Linked DNA regions of Drosophila melanogaster. Changing the gene in region 2 together with the main gene of any one other region gives a genetic interaction. Each region holds a gene or a part of one and is shown on either strand. Other genes may lie near its edges. The genes, in order: Src64B, Ras85D, tor and htl.

Region 1 (4,849 bases), on a different chromosome or scaffold from region 2:
TTTAAGATCTTATTTGAAAATTCTCAAAAGTAGTAATTTTCTGGCAATCAAAGGGAAAATCCACTTGAAATTTTCTCCACTCAGGCAATCATCTCTACATTAATTCTTTTTTGTCGCACTTGCCACGCACTTTCCACTTTTCCTCGCCTTCGCCGCTCTCCTCTCTTCACTTCCATCGCCTTTTCTCCTCCTTTCAGTTCTTATCAATAAAACGTTGCTGCTGTGCGCATTGTTTGCTGGCTAAGTGGCCAAACACGCACACATACACGCACAGCTGGCAGGGAAAGGAACAAAGGAGGAGCTAAAAGAGAGCGATGAACAATTGAGTTTTCTACTTGTTCCGCTTCTTCCGTCTCCACTTCTGTTGCTTTGACTACTTTTTATTCGTTTGGATTCTCCTTATTGCACCTCCCACGCTGTGTTATCCCCTTCATCCACCACCCGCTCCCCTTTTCGATTGACTCTATGCCTTTGTGGTCGTCCGTATCATGTAAAACGCTTTGTGTGCAAAATAGGAAATTTGAAGAAGAACAACAACAGCGAGCGAACTGCGAGCAAAATAGAGAAATGAAAAGATCTCAACAAGTTTGCCGTTAGTCGAGCTAAGCAGATTTACTTGTTTGAGAGCATTTTGCGATTGCCATTTTGCAATGATTTAGCAGGGGGTCAAAGACGAGGGGGCACTAAAATGGAGGGCGAAGGGAATGGGGCTTAGGAGCGGACAGCGGCCAAACAGCATAATTGCCCAGTTGCACTCAAATGGATCTCCATTGAAAACCCCCACTCACCAATTAAGGGTTAAAGAGCAACAGACTCCAGAAGAAGCGGCCATAAATCTGTACAGTGATAAACGGCTATGATTTTCAACGGCCAACATAAAGGTCACAATCAGATAAGATTTGTGATTCGGATACGTACACACACATATTTATATTAAGGTGTTTAAATGAGCTCACCAAATTCGAGTATCAATACACCTTAATTAATCTTAAAGAATCAAATCGAGTTCTGACGAAGTAACGCTCTCAGGACTGGAATTTCTCTGCACTTCCTGAAATTAAGTTTCCTGTTTCGTTTTTAGTTACCTTTAAGCGATAGCCACTGTACACAAAAAATGTGAAGCAAAGACAAACTATTTGCGGTCTTTATCAGCGGCTGGCCACAAAAAGTAAAAGGAGAAAAAAGGAAAGACAACTGAGGGAAAAAGGAAAGAAGTAGCAAAAACAGAAAACAGACGGCAGCAATGTTAATTGAAGGGGTTTAAATTTTTGGAGTGAGGGTGAAACTTTACTGCAACAGATAAGCTACAAATGTACAAAAAAAAAGAAACGAACAAATAAAAAAAATAATAAAAACAAATTTTGTGGCTTGAACTTCAAAGCACATGGAGCGATTTAGAGTAGAAGGGAAGAGGAGGGGTTAATAAACAAGCCACCAAAAGGTAAATAAATAAGCACAAAATGCCGAAAATAGCGCACAAGGGATAAACCAGATGGAAAGAGCGAGAGGAAGAGAGAGAGAAGGAGCAGCTGCTGCGCCGACGCCTGCTGCTCTTGAGCTTCTTCTTTCCATCTCCCTTCCCCAACCCCATTCACTCGTCATCCAATGGCTCTCCACAAATTGGAAGCAATTACAATAGCAGCAACAACAAATGCTCTTTGACTTTTTACAGCAGCCGGAGCAATAACTAAATACGGTAGACCGTCGATAAAGTGAACCAAACACAATTTAGTGGTTGCAAATAAATTTTTAGAACCAAATTATCATAAAGCTTGAAATGTTTTTTTTTTTTCAAATTTACTCCAATTGGGTATTTTTTTAAGCGCAAAGAAGCCTGAAGAAATGGTTAGTATGTGTCGAAATATAACAAACAACAAGTCTTAAGATTCCTTAAGTTAAGCTTTATTCCATTTCTTCATTATTTTTTCATCTTTCGACTTTTCACTGTACACATTATCAGCCACAGAAGCATAAATAGAAATGCAGCGGGAGAGCAAATCTAGCACTCTTTTTTTTAGTTTTTGTGTTTACTTATTTGCGTTCATTGGCTTCTCTTCCTAACGGCACTTCGGGCCAAGGAGGTGCGAATGAAAAGGAGCTATAATCCGGTTTTATATCGCACTTACCTTTTTTAATTAGAATAAATCAAAACTTTGCTGCGGATTCCGATTCTCTTTATTTGCTATCAAAAGCAAAGCGGACTTTACAGTTACGCCTGTTAAAGTTGTTGTTTTTACTGCACGGTCTGCGGGCCAAATAAAAACAACAAATACTATATTTTTGCTGTTTACTTTACGCCGAACTTCGACGCTAATTGGAAAAAGAGATGCGGGAAGGAGAGAGAGCAATGAAAACTATAATTAAACGCCAGCAAAAAAAGGTCTTAAATATCCTGCGGGCACAGCAACAACAACAGAGAAAAATACAGGAGGAAAACCAAGAGAAAGAAGGGGAGAAGTTAACATAAAGTAACAGAAAGTTGCGAAGGAGAGGCGTTGGTCTCCGAGGGGGAAAGGCATAGGAAAAGACTCTTAAGGGAAAAAGAGAAAAGTCGGAAAGAGAAAAGCTGCGCAGGATATTTTAGCCGCCTATGAAAAATGTTAATTTTGTTTTAAATGTTCACTGCGGGTTTCATATGTTTTTTCTTGCATTATTGGCCACTTCGCTTTGTCACTTTACTTCGGTTTTAATTTTTCCACTTCTTCATTCGCCCAGTGAGTGTGTGCGTGCGAGGGAGATGGAGCGAGAGAGCGTGTTTGTGTTTCCACTGCAACTCCATTCTTCTTTCTCTTTTTTCACACACACACACAGGGCACACACGCACACTTGCACATGGGGGAGTTGGAAACTTACGCGTCGCCGTTTTATTAATTTTATTCAATTAACAATCGCCTCTAATTCAGCAACTCCAAAACACTACAAAATCTCGTTGTACTTGAGCACTATTGTTTGTCGATAAGAAGCCGCCGAAAAACGCCGACCGAGGAGGAAAATCACCCGCGCTGGAAAATCGCGTCCGAGTCGTTCAACGGTGAATTTTAGAGTGAGAAGGAAAATCGTGGGAAACTGCGGTGGATTTTAGAGCGAGATGGGTGATGCTCTGAAAGAGAGAGAGGGAATGCACCCTCTGGCGATGGGCCAAGTTCGATATTAGCATGGATTCCTATCGATTAATCGACTTAACATTATTTACCCCGGACTACAACCTATTACTTCTGTGTTTTTGTTTTTCTTAAATTATAATGAATCATTTATATTTGTATAGAAAATATTGAAATCAATTAGTTTATTCGAATGCTTAAACTTAAATGTTTTCCAACAACATCTCTAGTTCCAGCTTCAGACTCTGCAACGTGATCTTAGCCAATAAACTTTGCTTTATAAACTTATAATTGATCCTTGCTATTTTTCCAAAAAATATGTCGTGATATTTGATAATTTTTGATAAGTACATAGGTCTGATTGTTTATATATCTAATAAAAAATGACCACTCTGTATGAAGAGGGTAATCGTATTTCATATGTAAATTTATTAAATATATTTCTTTAATAAATAATTAAATATATTTGTTTGGTATTTTCGGTATTCATGCAGTTAGTATTAAAAGTATATTCTGCAGAGCCGGGAAGTGTGGATTTAAAAAAGTCCGCGGTCACACTGCCCATCTGCAGAGGTTTCCTCTTCGCGAATTTGTCTTGTGCGCTCCGATTTTGGCTATATAGTTGCGCCAAAGTGCCAAAAATCGGACCGGCACCAAAGTAAACCATCTTCTGAGCTCGCAAGTTCATCCGATCGACGAAGGATAGAAAAACATCGACTTTAAGGGGATTTAAGACCCGCCAACAGCACCGCAAAATGCAGTCTCACAGCAAAAAGCGCGTTTGTTACTACTACGACAGTAAGTTTTGAGCATTTAAATGGAAGTAAAAGGCCTACTAGATGGGTAATTTGTGTTTACAAAGTGCCAGCTAGGGTTACCATGTCGACTTTGTGTTTTTTCCGCATCCACTTAGCATCAGATGATAGCATTTTTGCAAATTTCAAGTTTTACGGCGACTGTACGAGCGCGTTCCGGTCCACAGCGCACTTTTTCCATACGACCGCAGTGCGTTTGTATGCGTTTGTGTGTGTATGTACCTGATGTCTATCTTCCTCTTCTGTGTGTTTTTGTTGCTTTTTCGTTCGGGGCGAAAGTGCTACTACTGCGGTCGTTCGGAAAAAGTGCTGCTCTCAGGCAGACGCCTCGCCGACAGTGGCCTTAAAATTTGTATTCCACATAGCGTGGCAAATAATTACTTTTTCAACGTGCTCATAATTGCGATTTTTGATCCATAGGCGACATTGGCAACTACTACTATGGCCAGGGTCATCCCATGAAGCCCCATCGCATACGCATGACCCACAACCTGCTGCTCAACTATGGGCTCTATCGAAAAATGGAAATATACGTGAGTTACTTTATTAATATGTGATGATAGATATATATATATATATGATAGATTTAAACGCGAATTTCTCTATTCTAGCGTCCCCATAAAGCCACTGCCGATGAGATGACCAAGTTCCACTCGGACGAGTACGTCCGGTTCTTGCGATCCATTCGGCCGGACAACATGTCGGAGTACAACAAGCAGATGCAGCGTTTCAATGTCGGCGAAGATTGTCCCGTCTTCGATGGACTATACGAGTTTTGCCAACTCTCCGCCGGAGGATCCGTAGCTGCGGCCGTAAAACTGAATAAGCAAGCCTCGGAGATCTGCATCAATTGGGGCGGTGGGCTGCATCACGCCAAAAAATCGGAAGCCTCGGGCTTCTGCTACGTCAACGACATTGTTCTGGGAATTCTGG
Region 2 (4,660 bases):
GCAAGGGATTCGCAATGCGTTTTGTAGTTCTTGCAATATTCGTAGTAGTACACACCCGGAGCGGCGTCCGCGAAAACAAAATGGCGACCGCGTCAATCGACTTTTTCGCCAAATGTTCTTTTCTATGCTAGCGTTATGGCTTACCTTTTGATGTTGGCTGTGCTCTTAATACTGGTAATATTTCTATTTTGCTGCTTTCGGCGTAGTAAATTTTATACAATGAACAAACGCTTGTGACAAACTACAGTTTCCGAGATCAATAGAAAACCGTACAAAAGTCTATGTTAGAGTTGACAGTGATACGATGACAGCACATTCATCGATGGTTTGATATTTGGACGTGTCTCAGATTTCTATCGACTAGACATCGCCGATATTCGAAAATGCTCTTCGAATTATCGAAATGTAGGCATACTGCAATTTACGCGCGCAACGCAAAAATTCAAATAATAGAATATTTGGCTCAACAAGACAGGAGACTTTAGATGGAAAAATAGAATCCACAAAAGCAAAACTATGGAATAACTAAAACCACTTTTCATAAATAGTACACACAATCGATTTATTTCGTTTCTTTTTGTATGGCAAAAATTAATACAAAAAATTAAATATTAAATGTATGTATGTATGTATAAAAAGCTTAAAGCAAACTATATAATGTAAATTTAATTGGCTGTTTGTTTTCTCTCCGATTGATCTGTCAGTATGGTAAGTAGAAAGAAAGGCAAATCTCAAGAACTCATACGGATTATAATTTCATCATCGTAGCACCACAGATATGTGTTTAACCGAACATAAATCTAGTTTGGGGCTAGCGAATTTACTCGTTTGTGCGAAAGTTGCTGTGAGCTTATCGGCTTTTGCTTGTTTGTTCTCTAATGATGAATACTAATGGAATTCTGCTCGTGCGTGTGTGCGAAAAAAGATTACATTTATGTATGACTGTCGGGTTGAAACCAATAGATAACAGGGCTGTAAAAATACACAATATTTGTTTACATCGCGTTTCGGTTTTAAGCACGGAGTATCTGTTGAAGTACAAACAACATAGAATCAAGTTAAGTGCTGGTTGAAAACAAACGGATATAGCAGCTGAACCAAGGCAGTTACAACAGTATTCATAGTTTTTATGTAGAGGTACATATTCATTTTCATTTTCGATTTGCTTCGTTCGTTTTTGTTTGCTTGTTATTGTTAATACTCTTAAAAGGGCGCCTCGCAGCCTTTCAAACGACACAAAACACACACATTCACAAAATCATTTCGACGTACATAAAACTCTAGTTACTTAAATTAATTACAATTTCTCTTCTTTTATCTGACAATTGCACCGACCAACACGCTCCCACATGTGTGTGTTTTTCGCATTGTGTGTCCAAAATGGACAAACCATCGAGCCCAGGACGATCGGCGATTCGCCGACGCACATACAGACAAACAGGCGACATTTGAAGAAATAAAAAGTGAATAATAACCAATGCGTGGCCGTTTAGAGCATTTTACATTTAAATCTACGATTCGGCTTGTTCATTTTGCGGCCCCTCCGCCCCTTGTTGTCCTTGTCCTTGCGGATTTCGCGCACCAGTGTGTAAAATGCATCGTCCACGCCCATGCGCGTCTTGGCGGATGTCTCAATGTATGGAATGCCGTACTGTTTGGCCACCTGAGAACAACCATAATTAACGGAATGTTCGCTCGGAACTCTGAAGGCCGGTACTCACCTCTCTTGCCTGCTCGTTGTTAACGTTCCACGAGGCCAGATCACATTTGTTGCCCACCAGCACCATGGGCACCTCTTCGGCATCCTTTACGCGCTTGATCTGCTCACGGTAGGTGCCGATATCCTCGAAGGACTTCGCACTGTTGACGGCAAAGACCAGCAGGAATCCCTCGCCAGTCCGCATATACTGATCCCGCATGGCCGAGTACTCCTCTTGGCCGGCGGTGTCCAGGATGTCCAGCAGGCAGGTCTCTCCATCTGCAGGGGAATATAAAATGCATTTGAATATCGCAACTTCTTAAGGTCTCTTCTAGTATAAACGGGAAACCAAACCAGCGAAAGGGTGCAGAAATCTCTAGAGTATTTGGACCTGTGCAGCCCTAGCTTTGCCAGATCTAAGTACATATAACTCACCGATAACCACTTGCTTTCGGTAAGAGTCCTCGATTGTGGGGTCGTACTCGTCCACGAAATGGTTCTGGATTAGCTGGATGGTGAGCGCGGACTTGCCCACGCCTCCGGCTCCAACGACGACCAGTTTGTATTCCGTCATTTGGCTGTGGCGTCCGTTTTCGATTTGCCGTAGTCAAATGTCACAGTAACAGTCTCTTTCTCGCGATCGATGCTTACTCTCTTGTGAAGCGCCCGCAGATGCAGTCTCTCTCTCCGTACGCTTGTTGCGTGTGTTTGTGTGGGTGACTGTGCGTGTATGGGCTGCAAGTGGAGTAAATTATTAATTAAGATTGATTAAAATAAATTAAACGCATAATTAGGCAGGAATTAATGCACGTCACTGAGTCACTGTGACTAGGCGCTTACTCGCACAAACACACACGCACCACTGCATGCACACAGCCAGACGGGCAACACAAAAAAAAATGGGAAAAAGAGATCAATGACTCAAACTAAAATTAAAACCCATTCGCTCAATGCAAATTAGTTAGTCTCCCCCATAGCCGAGTTGTTAACTAGGTGAATTTGCTAATTCGGCGGCGTTGTTTTTAGCCCTTTTCTTTATTATTTTTCTTTTGCCTGCCGGGGCTGCGGACCTTCTTTGTTGCTGCCTCTTCAGCTAGCTCCTCCTTGTTTTTCCGCTCCGCTCCTCTCTATCAATACTCTGCCTCTCTCTTCTCGCGCGCGGCGCAGTTGCTGGGCACGTTTCACGTCACTTTCGCGGCTAACGGTGCGACAGGCGGTACTCCTCGATGGCACCAATTTAATTGCCGTGCGGTAATTGCAATTAACAGCGCAGGAAAACAATAAATCCGTATGTGAAATGAAGATGAAATCTAGGCTGTACGTAGCTGTGAAGATACTAGAGCTGGCACCAAGCCGATGGCACTATCGATAGCGATGGCTGCATTCTGGCCGGCACCATCGATGGACTTGCAATAGCGATTGCTATATGAAAACTAATCTAAAGAGGTGGATGCACTTCAGTCGACTCTCTATAATTTGCTTAAACTAATAAATGATTTGATCAATACAGCTTTCTGTAAAAACTGGCAGACGCTTTCTGCTTTTAATAATTGTTAATTTAAGTTCAACGGGCTGGCATCACCGTTTCTTAGCACGGACTCAAGCCTGAGTCTATTATTTCAACCACCACTGTAACGAAAACAGCATGGACAGATTGAAATTCAATAATTTGGTAAATAAACGATTTTATTTAAAATTATAGAGTTTTAATTAAAAAGAACTTTTACAGGTGATATCCAACAAGAAGGTCATTCAAAAGGCACGCGCCCAGACCATCGCCAAAATCGTACAAAAGCTGCGAAAGACAAAAGAGGCTCTGGCCAAAAATCCAGACAGTGAAAAGGAAAAGATTCGTTTACGCAAGAACACAGAATGCCTGGCCCAGTTGAAGGCTCTAAAATATATGGATATGGTACGCCAGTCGCTCCTGCAGGAGGGCACAAATCCCAATGCGGTGATTGCTAACGAGCGCTCCACGCCGGATGAACTGGGCATTGCCATGCTGCGGCTAAACAAATTGATGCACGGACTGGTGGACAAGTTTGTGGAAACCTTGAAGCTGAGCACCACCGATAAGGAGGCCAAGTGGCGTGAGGAGATCCTAGAGACGAGCAAGCGAAGGGCCAAAATAGAACGCACTGAGGAGCGGAAGAGGAAGCGCAAGGAGCTGAAGGAGCAGAAGGCCCAAACCAAAAACCGACTGGAGTGGTTAGAGCAGAACAAAGTGGTGGATGCAGATGTTAATGGAGCAACTGCGGAAACGCCCACTCTTCAAGTCAGCAAAGTAAATGATCAGGAAATACCACAGTCTTTTGCAAAAACTGAAAATTCTCCAGTTCTCAAAGTCAAAAAGGAAAAGACACCTAAAACACCAGCCAAAAAAGAAAGAAACCTTCAGAAAAAACAAGCTTTTGATGAGCAGATCAACCCGGAGATAACTAAGCTCAGTTCCAAAAAGCAGAATTTAAATACAATCAAGGAGAATAATGCAGAGCCACAACTAGAAGGCAGACCGAAAGAATCTAAGCCAAAACCCTTCGAGAAAAAACCAGCCAGAGAGCAGAAGCCTAAGCCACGATTAGAAAGGCAGCCAAGTATCGATGAAGAAGAACCACAACTTGACAATAATCGTCCCACACATGTCGTTGATCCCTTCTTCATTACGGAATCAGGCCAGCCCTACTTGTCCAGCGCCGTGGTTCTTTCCGGGGACAATGACAGCGAAGCTGATGAGGAACAGGCACCGCCGCCAGTCAAAAGGTTCCGCAATGAGGATCGACGGTCGAACACATATCGGGAGAAACCGGAAAGACAGCCAGAGTTCAAAGCGAGAAAGCCAACTGATGATCGTCATCCCTCCTGGCTGGCTAAGCAACAGCAGAAACCAATCATTGGTGATTTTAGAGGCAAGAAGATTACATTCGGCGACGACGGCCAGGCGGCGGAAATTATTGCTCCAAG
Region 3 (6,151 bases), on a different chromosome or scaffold from region 2:
TATAATGAGCTGCCTCTGGAGATCGACATAATCTTTTTGCCAAGGCAAATATGACCCGTCGATTGAGGTCCAGCCAGCGCGGTGGCAAGGTGTCGCAGGGATCGGGGGTTGGCTCCCGATCCGGACCTCTTATGAAAGGATTCTCGGCGAGGGGCCGACTGCCCAGTGGACAGCAGCTGGAGATGGTGCGCACCGGGCAGTGTGGACAGCTGTAGGGAATCGGTGGACATGGTGTCCGGCGGAGGCGACAGCAGTGGATGCACATCGATCGAGGTGGCCAGAAGTAGAATTGAAACACTGTAAACAAGCCAGCTTGGACCGACTTTCAATTTGGAATTTTCAAAAATGATGCTGATTGGGGTCCAAATAAACGACCTTCTTTCGAAACCTAAGCCGCAAGGAGGCACAAACATTTTGAAATGGTCGGTTTCTATGAGACATAAAGGGCACTGCTAGAAGTTTACTCTATAAATATCTTGGTTTTTCTTATAAAAAAGAAATTAAATTTTTCTTAGGCTAGCTTTAATGTTTATTGCTATGCAAGGTTATCTGGCGCATAGCATTGTCTGAATTGGAACTCGAATTTAGAATGTATTGCACTCGTTCATTATAATCTTGAAGCAATGACTATTAATTCAAAGGTTCTAGGTATAGCTCTTCCTCGCATGGCACTTGCTCCACTTTACTAAATTGTAAAAGGTAAGAAAGTAACGTATACAATTGTCTTTTTAAAGATTACTTACCTGTTTAGACCGTCACATGACTTTAATTTTGACTCGGTTGCAGCTTGCAGTTGTTTCAGCCTTTCTGGAACATCGTTAGTGGCCAAAATCATGCCACCAAGTCTGTGTTTAAGGGCGGAAAATGTTGGCCTGTGTGATGGCACGGAGCTCCAGCAGCTTTCCATCAGGGAAAACCTGAGTTAAGCAAATGTGATCAACAATTATGTACTTCGCTAAGCACTGATACCCACATTTCTTGCGTACATCCCTCCGGTCGCTTCATCCGATGACCTTGTCGCAGTAGCTGCAAGAGATCACTGGGAGACACCGACGGATATGGCATTCCACCGAGAGTGGTGATCTCATAGAGCAGCACACCAAAGGACCAACTAAGAGGGTAAGATATCAGCCACAAAATCGCTTCGGACTTAACAAAAATATATACTTACACATCGCTCTGACTGGTGTACACCTGGTGGGTGAGGGACTCCAGCGCGAGCCACTTGATGGGCAGCTTGCCACTTCCTCCGGACTTTCGGTACACGTTCTCATGATACACATCTCGACTCAGCCTTAAAAAAAAAAACACAATATAACTAATCATTGAACTTTCAGAGATACCCACCCAAAATCTGCTATCTTGATGCTGCGATCTACGGAGATTAGAACATTCCGGGCAGCCAGATCCCTATGCACTACTTTGTTTTGGGCCAGAAATTCCTAAAATGGCAAATGATACATGCTACACTTTTTAATTACATTTAGGGATAGAGTAGATGTAGGCTACCATTCCCACCGCCACCTGTTGGGCGATGTCTAGCAAATCTGCATATTTCAGTGGTATTCGGGGCTTGGTATCCGATGAGTCGAGGCAATCAAAGTATTCCTTGTTCTCAAAGATTCGCTTCTTGTTGTCCGATTTGAAATCCTGCTTCGAGTCTTTCTTGGGCTGCGGCTTCAGCTTCCGTTTTGGCCGATCCTTTGGAGCTTCAGCGGTTTTGGGAATGTAACTCCCACCGATGTTTTCAATGTCCTCCAGGCCATAGCCCTTGTTGTCGGCTGCATTGGTTATTCGAGTGAGGGTGTAGGTCTCACATCGACTTGAGTGTGTCTGATCCGATTCACTCTCCTCTTCCACAGTGGACAGCATCGAGTTGTTGATATCCTCTATGCGATCATGGATGGAATTTCTAGGGAGTCGGTTAAACCGTCGGTTGTCCACGTTCTGTTCAAGGTTCTTCTTAAGTCCAATTGCATTTTGCTCCTGCCTGAACTTCCACTCCTCACTAAGTAATACATTTTTTACTATACATCACTTGTTTTCCAATATGTATAAAAATAACTTACCGTAAAAAGTTCTGCAGGCTTCCAAGGCTGCAGTATTCAATTAGCAACATCATCTGGTTGCTAAAACGAGTGGAGTATCCCACGATACCCACAATATTTGGATGCTTGCCCACGGCCTTGAGCATCTGAATTTCGCACTTGAACGCATATACGTCCTCGTCGTTTGGTTCATCTGTGAGAACAAAAATTCCATGAATTATTCAAGAACTTCAATACCAAATGGTACAACCTTTCAGCAACTTGACGGCCACTTGGCGTTTCTTGTAAACTCCACGTCGCACCAAGCCAAAGGCTCCTTCGCCGAGGACATCCTGAAGGAGCACCGAGTGTGGCTCCACCTCCAGCTCGTCCATTACTTCCAGACTCTCGTTGGCCGAGAGGGTGACCAGCAGGCCACTGCTGTCCATCAGGGAGAGATGAAATTCACTGGCCTTCGCGTCCTTAGCGTCCATTTGCAGCGCCTGAACCTCCGAACGATTTCGTCTGCAGAACGTCAGGGAGCACAGCATCAAAATGCAGCATATGGGCACGATAATAAAGAGTACCAACTTGACCATGTTGCCCTCTGTTCAATGGATGGAAATGGATGTCTAAATATTTAATTTCCTTCAGCGTACGTACCGCTCAGCAACACACCTCGATGAACCTTGTCCAACGTCAAACCGGATACGTTTTTTCCGCCTGCCGACTGGGCCACCAAATGTACTTCGAAATGGGAACCCAGTACCGTGATCTTGGGTACATAGAAGTGGCTCCTGTTTTGGTCAAGTGTATAGTTTAGCTCCGTACCTCCTTTGAATAGATCAAAGATGTGAAGTGTATAGTTATCCGGCAGGTATCTGGGACGCGCCCAGGTGATGTTCAGGGCCAAAATATTTGGCAGATACTGCTTCTGGGTCACAGTAAGATTCTCTGGCTTATGGGGTGCTATGAAAGGGTGGAACAATATTATTATTATTAATATTATTATTATATAGGACTTTCGAGGAACCTACGGCAGAGTGTGTAGTTATAGGGATACCAATCCAAGCAGCTTGGAACAGCGATTGGCAGCCACTGCAGATCGCTCTCCAGTCGATTCATTATGTTCACCGTTCTTACGCCAACGTGATACTGTTTGTCAAACTCCAAGTTGTCCACCGTGTGCCTGTACAGCTTTTTGCGCTGCAGTAAAAGATTAGCTATGCTCTAGCATTGCAGGGGCGTCATGGCATACTCACATCCCGGAACTGCACCTCCAGTGGCTCGTCCATATTCACGCTGTTGGTTGAATACGACACCATGTCGAAATAGCAGTTGCTCTCTGGAATATGAAAGTAGGGTTCGTAGATCGTTGATTGATTAAACTGATGGAGCTACTTACCCGCCGATGGCTTCCACTCGATTTCGGCAGCAATGTGATGCAGGTCGTCTGGTTGGGGGACAAACCGCAGCAGATTCACCGCTCCCATTTTGCTGGGCTGATAGCCTCGGATGAGGGTGGCGAAGGTCTGGTCCTTTGCTATCAAGGAGTAGCTGCCATCTCCGTGCATCGCCAGGGCGGTGATGTTGTGGGTAGAGTTGGACTCCAATCCCGGCAGGATGAGAAAGTTGTCATCAGACTGCAAGCGAATAAGTCGATGAAAAAGAGCGATCCACTTGTAAAACGAAACATTAGGTCTTGATGACTACATAGTACATCTTTTTCTAGAAATTCATCAAATAAAATGGTATTTTAAAGTAAATAGTAATGAGTTTACATCTAATATCTGACCAGGTAAAGCGCAGTTTCTTTGTTGTCGTCCTTGACAGCATCCACCCGGATTATGTAGGTGGCATTTGGAGCCGGCTCGGTTCCCCTGCTGTGCTGCACCCAATCTATTTGGAAAACGATTTCCGACTCCGTGCGGCAGATCATGTTCATCTGGTAGTTTTCCTGCACCTTGCGCAGAGCCCCGGGAAATGTTCCATTAATCCTGCAGTCCTTTAAACAGCTTCGGAAATCCTGTCGAGAAAAGAAGCATGCACTTTTGGTTATGGAGTGTTCCAACATTCTAAGGGTGTAAACATACCATCTGGCCCTTTTCCAGACAATTCTGGGTGCAAGCGGTGACGTTGAGAAGCGTCTTATCGTGAGAGATTTTGTCCATTAGCAACATTTCACCTTGATTGCTTCCCACGAAAAACCAGAAGATAAATGCGTACTTCGCGTAGAAAATAAGCATTTTCCTTGTTCTGCTTTTGAAACCCTTCTTTAGTTCTTCGTTGTGTGTCGGTGTGTGTGTGTTGGAATGAAATGTGTATTTGTTTAAAACCGACTTAAAGTTTATTGCACTTTTGCCACCACGCACTTTGATACAAAACTCAATAACACACACAGCAAATTCGAATACTTAGTTTCTAGATTCCAACTTTCGAGATCAATACCATCCGTCCTTCTCGGATTATCTTGCTGAACTGAGAAAGAACTGAGAAACTGAGGCCAAAAATGCGATGGTAAAAAAGCGACGAAGAAGGAGGAATGATGAGAAGCGGCGGACTCGTTGAATATATTTTGCGCTATTTTGTTTTGATTTGTTTTTCACCTCTTCACTGCATCGTATTGTACTTGATCGTATGGATGGGATTGGACTAGGGGTCATTTGAAATGCAAAAATTTGGATCGCTACTCCGTCATAGTAGCGCCAGGGCTTGGGATAAGCATAGAACATTGACTTCAGATAACTCTTCGCAATTTTCATTTGTGATACCACCAACAACGTTTGTATTTCAATCTTCTATGATCTGTTGCGCCAAAAGAGCTTGTATTGCAGCAAACCGATAAATCAGAATGCAGTGCTGGTCGCTTCCATCCCTAGAAACCATGTTGGGCGCCAATATTCGAAATTAACCAAAAAACAACTATGCTAATTTCGCCCACATTGTAGCTTTTGCGTGATCACACTTTCCCTGATTCCATTTCAATTGGAACAGAGCTGACAATACAGGTATTTCCTTATAGCGACTTGCAAATGCACATGACCTCAGTTGCCTCTGATTCAGGTTATTCGTATAGAACGCTCGATTACATTGGTGACTCAATTGTTGCATCGCATTCGAGTACTCGAAACACTCACATGGGAAACTCGAGCATTCAGTGCCACTCGCAAGTTTAGTTAAATGTTGTACGCTCGCATCGTCGGTTCTGCTGCTCAAACGCGATAACGATCCATTACGTGTGTAAACATTAATAATAAATTTCTATGGGAGCGTCTAGTTTATTAAAGCTCTACAAGTTTAAAATAATTAGCCTGTGATACTAGGCCAAAGCGGATCGGATCAAAAGCAATACGAGTAACTCCCAGTTAGTTTTATCACCATTCAATTAAAGTGAGGAGGTTGTCGTGCAACAGCAGTTTCGTTCTCTTTCTAAAGGCATTCAAACCAGTTGCAATTGAAATTTCAAAACAATAATTATATATATGTGATCACAAGTATCGGACAAACGTTAAAGCCGGCTGTTGTTGGCAATGATAAGATCATATCATATAATATCATATCGGCATTCTAGCCAGACGTCCATATAGAGCAAGTCATTATCTTGATTGCTCGAATTTTTAAACACCCCAAGCGAATAGCCATTAAATCGAAGGTATTTTTTTAACAACTCTAACCAATAGCCACGCACTCGCGCCACCGACGGATACTGATAAGGATAAGAAATGGTAACTAAACATTGAACATTTCCATTTTTCAGTCGCCGGAGGACCGTGCTACCAAGTAGTTCAACTTTCCGAGTTCGAGAGCTCTGACATCATGAAAATCGAGTGGGCTCCCAAAGGAGTTCCCATGGAACGGCGTCGCCAGACGTTTGCCATGGCCTTCCTAATCCTATCCTTTATGATACTCTCCTTTGGATCCTATTTCTTCGTTGCTGCCGTGCTGGTAAATACATCAGTGCTTCAATATTTTGAAAAGTAAAGCATTCCCTTCCAGTTCTATGGAAGCCTTTTGTGGCGCACCATTATGGTCATCTATTTGGTCTACGTCTACGCGAATCACAAGAGAACCCACTCCATTATGGATGGCAATGGGTAGGCGTCATGAAGTCCCTATAAGAACAC
Region 4 (4,664 bases), 8.5 Mb from region 2:
CTGTTCTGTTTGGATGGTCGTTGCCTTTAGCGTCCCGCATCTTTTCGCTTTCAACGGCAGCCTTAATTTTCCACACATGCCAGCCCCGTCTGGCTTTGTATCTCAGTATCGGCGGTATCTCTCAGTTTGCACTGGGTATTACTCTCATCTTTAATTAAAACAGACACAGTTTCTCTCCGCGTTCTGGGTCTGATCTTTCCAGTCCGCATTCAACATTCAGCCCACATCTGGCGGACAAAAAAAAATTAAAGAAATTAAAAGCAACAAAAATAACGGCCGGCGGAGAAGACTACTGTGTTCAGTTGTCTCTGTTCTCCCGCCCCCGTCGCCACGCCCACAGTCAGAGTCAGAGCAGAGACAAGGGCAAATATTGTTTCGGCTTGCATTTGTTGCTCTATTGTTGACTGCAACATGTGGGCACATCATCAGCATCGAACATACACGAATGTACATATACGTATGTCTACCTAAGATCGTGCCACATGTGTTGCACAGACATTGTCGTCGATTCTCGAGGGGAAGTAGCGACTCCAGCGTCTAAATGATGGGGTTATCCGAAATGTTGACTTCCAGGAAGGCATCCGCCAAATCGGAAACTGCCAAAAATTGTATATATGTTTGGTATTCTATCTCCACCCTCCGACCTTCACCTCCATCGATAATGAGCGCGCAATTTTAGTATATGTATGTATTTCCTGTGCCGTCCAAAATCGCCCGATTTATAAACAAACACGTTCCGGAAAGTATTTGCAAAGTATACAAACATTGCACGGTATATGTACATTTCCCATCGAATTGAAATCGCCGGTCACTTGGCGCATCCATTTCAATCGCACGGGTTGACCCGCAATTGACGCACTTGGCGGTTGCCCCGCTGCCGCTCAGTGTATCCGATACCAAGTCGAGACCGGCACGAGTCTGTTATTTCGCACGGTTCGTCGGCAGGTTCCACCAGCCATCAGCCACCCAATGCCAATCCCATCCAGCCATCCATCCATCCATCCATCCCCACCCGTTCATCTAGTATATACCATTCAGTACGTGACGGCGAGAAGGTTGCATCCCATGGGGTAAACGAAAAGAAGCAGATGGAGCGAAAGGTCGATTGTGGCAAGTCGACTTTATCAAAAACGCGAAGCTACGTTAAATTATCACAAAGTATATGAGTAGTGAACTATTGATTCGATTTACATTTCAGAAATATAAAGCACGCAGCGATTTATATAAAGAACGTTCAACAGATTTAGTTGAAATAAATATGTGCTATTCTTAAATTGTTGCAAGCTTTACTTATATATTTGTAAATTTGCCATTTAGAGCTTTAAAATTTTATTAGTACTCACAAACATTTAGACAACAAAATCCATTATAAAAGTGCTGTAGCATTGATAAGCTTAAGCTATAATATATTATAATACCAAAAAATAACATTATTACTTTATTGTTGACATAAATCTATTTCTAAATCGAAATCTTTATTTGGTAAACACTGATTTTATGATAAACTCTCATGAAAACATTTAATATTATATAGCAAGCATATATTCTCGTGACATTTGTACTTTAACATCATAAAGATCAAAGGATCATACCGAAAGTCTGCGTGGATCCCACCTGAGATGATATGGGAACAATACCGGGAACTGGCCGCACAATTAGCTAAACAAACCTAACCTTAATTATCATTCATAAATAAATTGCAGAGAAGGGAGGCGAAAAGTAAGAAGCGTCTTCGGTTGTCGGCCAGCAAATTGAGTGATTGCCAAAGGCAACAAAACAGAAGCCGAATCACCTAGAAGATGGCATCGTAAAGCTAACCGACCGACAAAACAGATACCCGATAAATATATATATATACATATATATACACACAGATAGCTATATCTTTAGCTATATACTCACTCAGATATAGAGCAAGTCGGACAAAGAGCAGACAAGTTGAAATGTTTGTTTACGCGGCTAGAAAATATTGCATGTTCCTATACCGTCTACATTCTAGAATCTAGACTCTAGATGATACGATATATGCTATATGCTGTTGGTTAATAAACAAAATCCCATTCTAAGGGAGCGTTGGAATATAACAGAATTATGAGTTTGAAATATTTTCCCGAGCTCTGGGGCATCGGTTGGCTTGTAAAAGCAAATAAATAAATATAAATTAGAATGGGAACCCTGTGGAAAAGTGCTTTCAATTTGAGCATGTACCATAGCAGAACCGAATGGAATAAATAAAAAATAAAAAAAACAGATACTATGGGGAGCCCACAACTGTCCATATTCACTGTATTATTATGGGGTAGCCAGAGAATAGATAATTGAACGATTGACTACACACACACACAGCGGGATAAACGACACAAATTGCTTTGGAACCGAACCACTGCACATTTTACACTTTTTGGCCTTTGGGTTAAAAAGTCAAATTGCTGTGCGCGGTCAATCAAAAAGTGGATCAAACAAATGATTTGCGCAACTACGCAAAAAAAACCAAAAACAAAATAAACTAAATTAAACGATGCACGGTGTGTATTTTTAAAGACTTACCTCACAAAGTGCGTTGCTCCACGAACAAAAAAAAAAAAATGCCAAAAAGCTTCTTGCCAAATATCCACCAAAGTGTCTCTGCGTTGGAATTTCTCCTTGCCTTCGTCTAAATTGTAAGTCTTTCACTAAAAACACAATTGGGAAAGTTCACAGAATTCGAGAATGTTTCCACTTAAAATTCCAGAAATGTTTTAGTACGCATTTATATGGCACTTAGGCACTTAAACAGAACCAGAAACCGTTGCACACTTGACTCTGTTTTGTTTCTTTCCATCCACAAAATGTGTGCGTTTTCACCAAGAGGCATTACTAATAATTATTAGTATAATTATATTATATGGCGTTATTACGCGTTCAATCGATCGATCGTTCGCTCTAATTTTCGACGATTTTTCACCGATTTTCCAACGATTTTCCAACCGATTTTCCAACGATTTTCCTCCGATTTCGCCTACTGTAACGGCACGCAGTCCGATCGCAACTGAGTCAAAAAAAAGCAAGCGAACCGAACAGAACCGAGCCAGCTCTGCGAAATAAATCTCTTCAATTAAATGAGGGAACAAATGAAACGAATTCACATTTCCCCCATCAACTTCAACATGCTGGAGAACACATCTCTGCAATGTATTTTTGCGGCAGGCGCGTAAACAAATACAGAAAACACACAAAATTGAACGGAACGCCAGCCACACATTGTATAATCCGCAGCCAAAGAGAGGAAGGGTCGAAAAAGCGAGGGGTTGGGTATGCGGTATATGTATGTATGGTACTATATGGTATAGGGGCCCCTATACCCTATATATGGGGGACCCACACACACACACACACAAGTGTGTAGCTGAGTGGCGGCCTTCCCTTGGAAAGTGAAATGTAATTGAGTGCACAGACCGCACTCGTTCTAAAATTCGTTCAATTGAGTCGAATGGAATATCTCAAAGATATTCTAACGCACAATATGTTGCATAGTTTCGAGCGCAGCGAGGAAATTCATGAATTTCATTATGAGGGTGCAAAGAAGATGGGTAGTTGTCAAAAAGATTCCTTATATTCAGATCAATTATTTATGTAGTTATAATTGGTTTGATGGATCATGCTTTATTAAAAAGAATAGCTAACTTATCTTAGTCAGAATAGATCAGTCACTTGAATTTAATTATTATTATTTTTTAAAAAGATTTATGGCCTATGAGGGCCTAAGATTCTACTGACAAATTCTTTGCGCATTTCTTTGCGCTTCGTTTGAGGCGGAAAATGCGGAATGAGATTCATTAGCCAACACAATAGCTCGCTAAGTAAGTTAGCAGTTATTAATTATGAGCTACTTATAGCCAATGTCAAATGGCCAACAGACACATAAGAACCAGTAGCCAAGTGGCGATGGAAGAAAGCCCCTCTAATGAATGACACTCGTGGTGAAAAGGCCATCAAAGCACACACGCTGTGCGCCAAAGACAATGGCATCGTTTAGCGTTTGTCTCTATGGAGACACCAAAAATAACGAAAAGGGTTAGCCAAACAATGGACAATGACGCAGGGGGGATTTTGGCCGAAAATCGAAAACAATTAACGATTATTGACCATCAATTGTGGCCGACGGGACCCGTTCAGTGCCAAATGGCGTTACGCCTGACTGATTAATTGATGCTCCACGGCGGAATTGGGAGGGAGGATCCCCATGAGTGGTTAGCATAGTTTCAACAGTTAACAACCTCGTAAAGCCGCAGAGAGACCGGGGAAAGCACGGGTTAAAGACGGCCACCGATCAGTGTGTATGGTCATAATACTTAAATTTTATGCACTCCTGGGCAAGCCTCCTGGCTCCAACCTGGCTCCAAACCGGGCTCCTCTTGGCTACCCAAAAGTGCTTCTCCTCGAGGCTGCCGATCGCAGCTTCAGCTTCCGTATGGCTTTTCAATTTGGCCAGAACGAAACGCAAGTTGTTAGCGTTTCGAGCATAGAAATAAATATTGGGAAATTGGCTCAAAGTCTGGTTGGTCGAGCCTTTGGCCATTTGGCTCTGGGAATCTGCGAATGGGAAATGAAAAATCGGGAACGGTAACAGGCTTTTGGAGACACGATCTTCGAGTTGGGCGACACGATCTGCAGCCATCTCGCAG

Evidence for each region.
Region 1: of Ras85D (region 2) and Src64B, changing one suppresses a phenotype caused by changing the other (phenotypic suppression), as found in Drosophila melanogaster (3 studies listed by BioGRID).
Region 3: of Ras85D (region 2) and tor, changing one suppresses a phenotype caused by changing the other (phenotypic suppression), as found in Drosophila melanogaster (3 studies listed by BioGRID).
Region 4: of Ras85D (region 2) and htl, changing one suppresses a phenotype caused by changing the other (phenotypic suppression), as found in Drosophila melanogaster (4 studies listed by BioGRID).

Annotation. Positions count from the first base shown.
Region 1 is NT_037436.4:4,623,084-4,627,932, forward strand, and holds the start of Src64B (Src oncogene at 64B), read right to left. Parts: upstream 3,050-4,849; 5' UTR 2,854-3,049; exon of another isoform or gene 2,680-2,853; intron 2,311-2,679; exon of another isoform or gene 2,246-2,310; 5' UTR 2,127-2,245; intron 1-2,126. Other genes in the region: HDAC1 (histone deacetylase 1), read left to right, coding at 3,857-3,899, 4,337-4,449, 4,528-4,849. UniProt on the Drosophila melanogaster protein: Tyrosine-protein kinase that may play a role in the development of neural tissue and smooth muscle. May contribute to tyrosine phosphorylation of Dscam1, a cell surface receptor involved in targeting of growing axons during eye morphogenesis.
Region 2 is NT_033777.3:9,510,019-9,514,678, forward strand, and holds Ras85D (Ras oncogene at 85D), read right to left. Parts: upstream 3,050-4,660; 5' UTR 2,770-3,049; intron 2,435-2,769; 5' UTR 2,274-2,434; coding exon 2,135-2,273; intron 1,979-2,134; coding exon 1,722-1,978; intron 1,664-1,721; coding exon 1,490-1,663; 3' UTR 543-1,489; downstream 1-542. Other genes in the region: Rlb1, read left to right, coding at 3,345-3,371, 3,429-4,660. UniProt on the Drosophila melanogaster protein: Ras proteins bind GDP/GTP and possess intrinsic GTPase activity. Plays a role in eye development by regulating cell growth, survival of postmitotic ommatidial cells and differentiation of photoreceptor cells.
Region 3 is NT_033778.4:7,704,673-7,710,823, forward strand, and holds tor (torso), read right to left. Parts: upstream 4,513-6,151; 5' UTR 4,274-4,512; coding exon 4,121-4,273; intron 4,054-4,120; coding exon 3,823-4,053; intron 3,671-3,822; coding exon 3,433-3,670; intron 3,373-3,432; coding exon 3,290-3,372; intron 3,234-3,289; coding exon 3,065-3,233; intron 2,997-3,064; coding exon 2,691-2,996; intron 2,635-2,690; coding exon 2,299-2,634; intron 2,242-2,298; coding exon 2,070-2,241; intron 2,009-2,069; coding exon 1,510-2,008; intron 1,443-1,509; coding exon 1,348-1,442; intron 1,295-1,347; coding exon 1,172-1,294; intron 1,112-1,171; coding exon 974-1,111; intron 918-973; coding exon 744-917; intron 686-743; coding exon 631-685; 3' UTR 511-630; downstream 1-510. Other genes in the region: CG34216 (uncharacterized protein), read right to left, coding at 1-265; CG1941 (uncharacterized protein), read left to right, coding at 5,844-5,972, 6,024-6,121. UniProt on the Drosophila melanogaster protein: Probable receptor tyrosine kinase which is required for determination of anterior and posterior terminal structures in the embryo.
Region 4 is NT_033777.3:18,049,955-18,054,618, forward strand, and holds the start of htl (heartless), read right to left. Parts: upstream 3,031-4,664; 5' UTR 2,548-3,030; intron 1-2,547. UniProt on the Drosophila melanogaster protein: May be required for patterning of muscle precursor cells. May be essential for generation of mesodermal and endodermal layers, invaginations of various types of cells and CNS formation.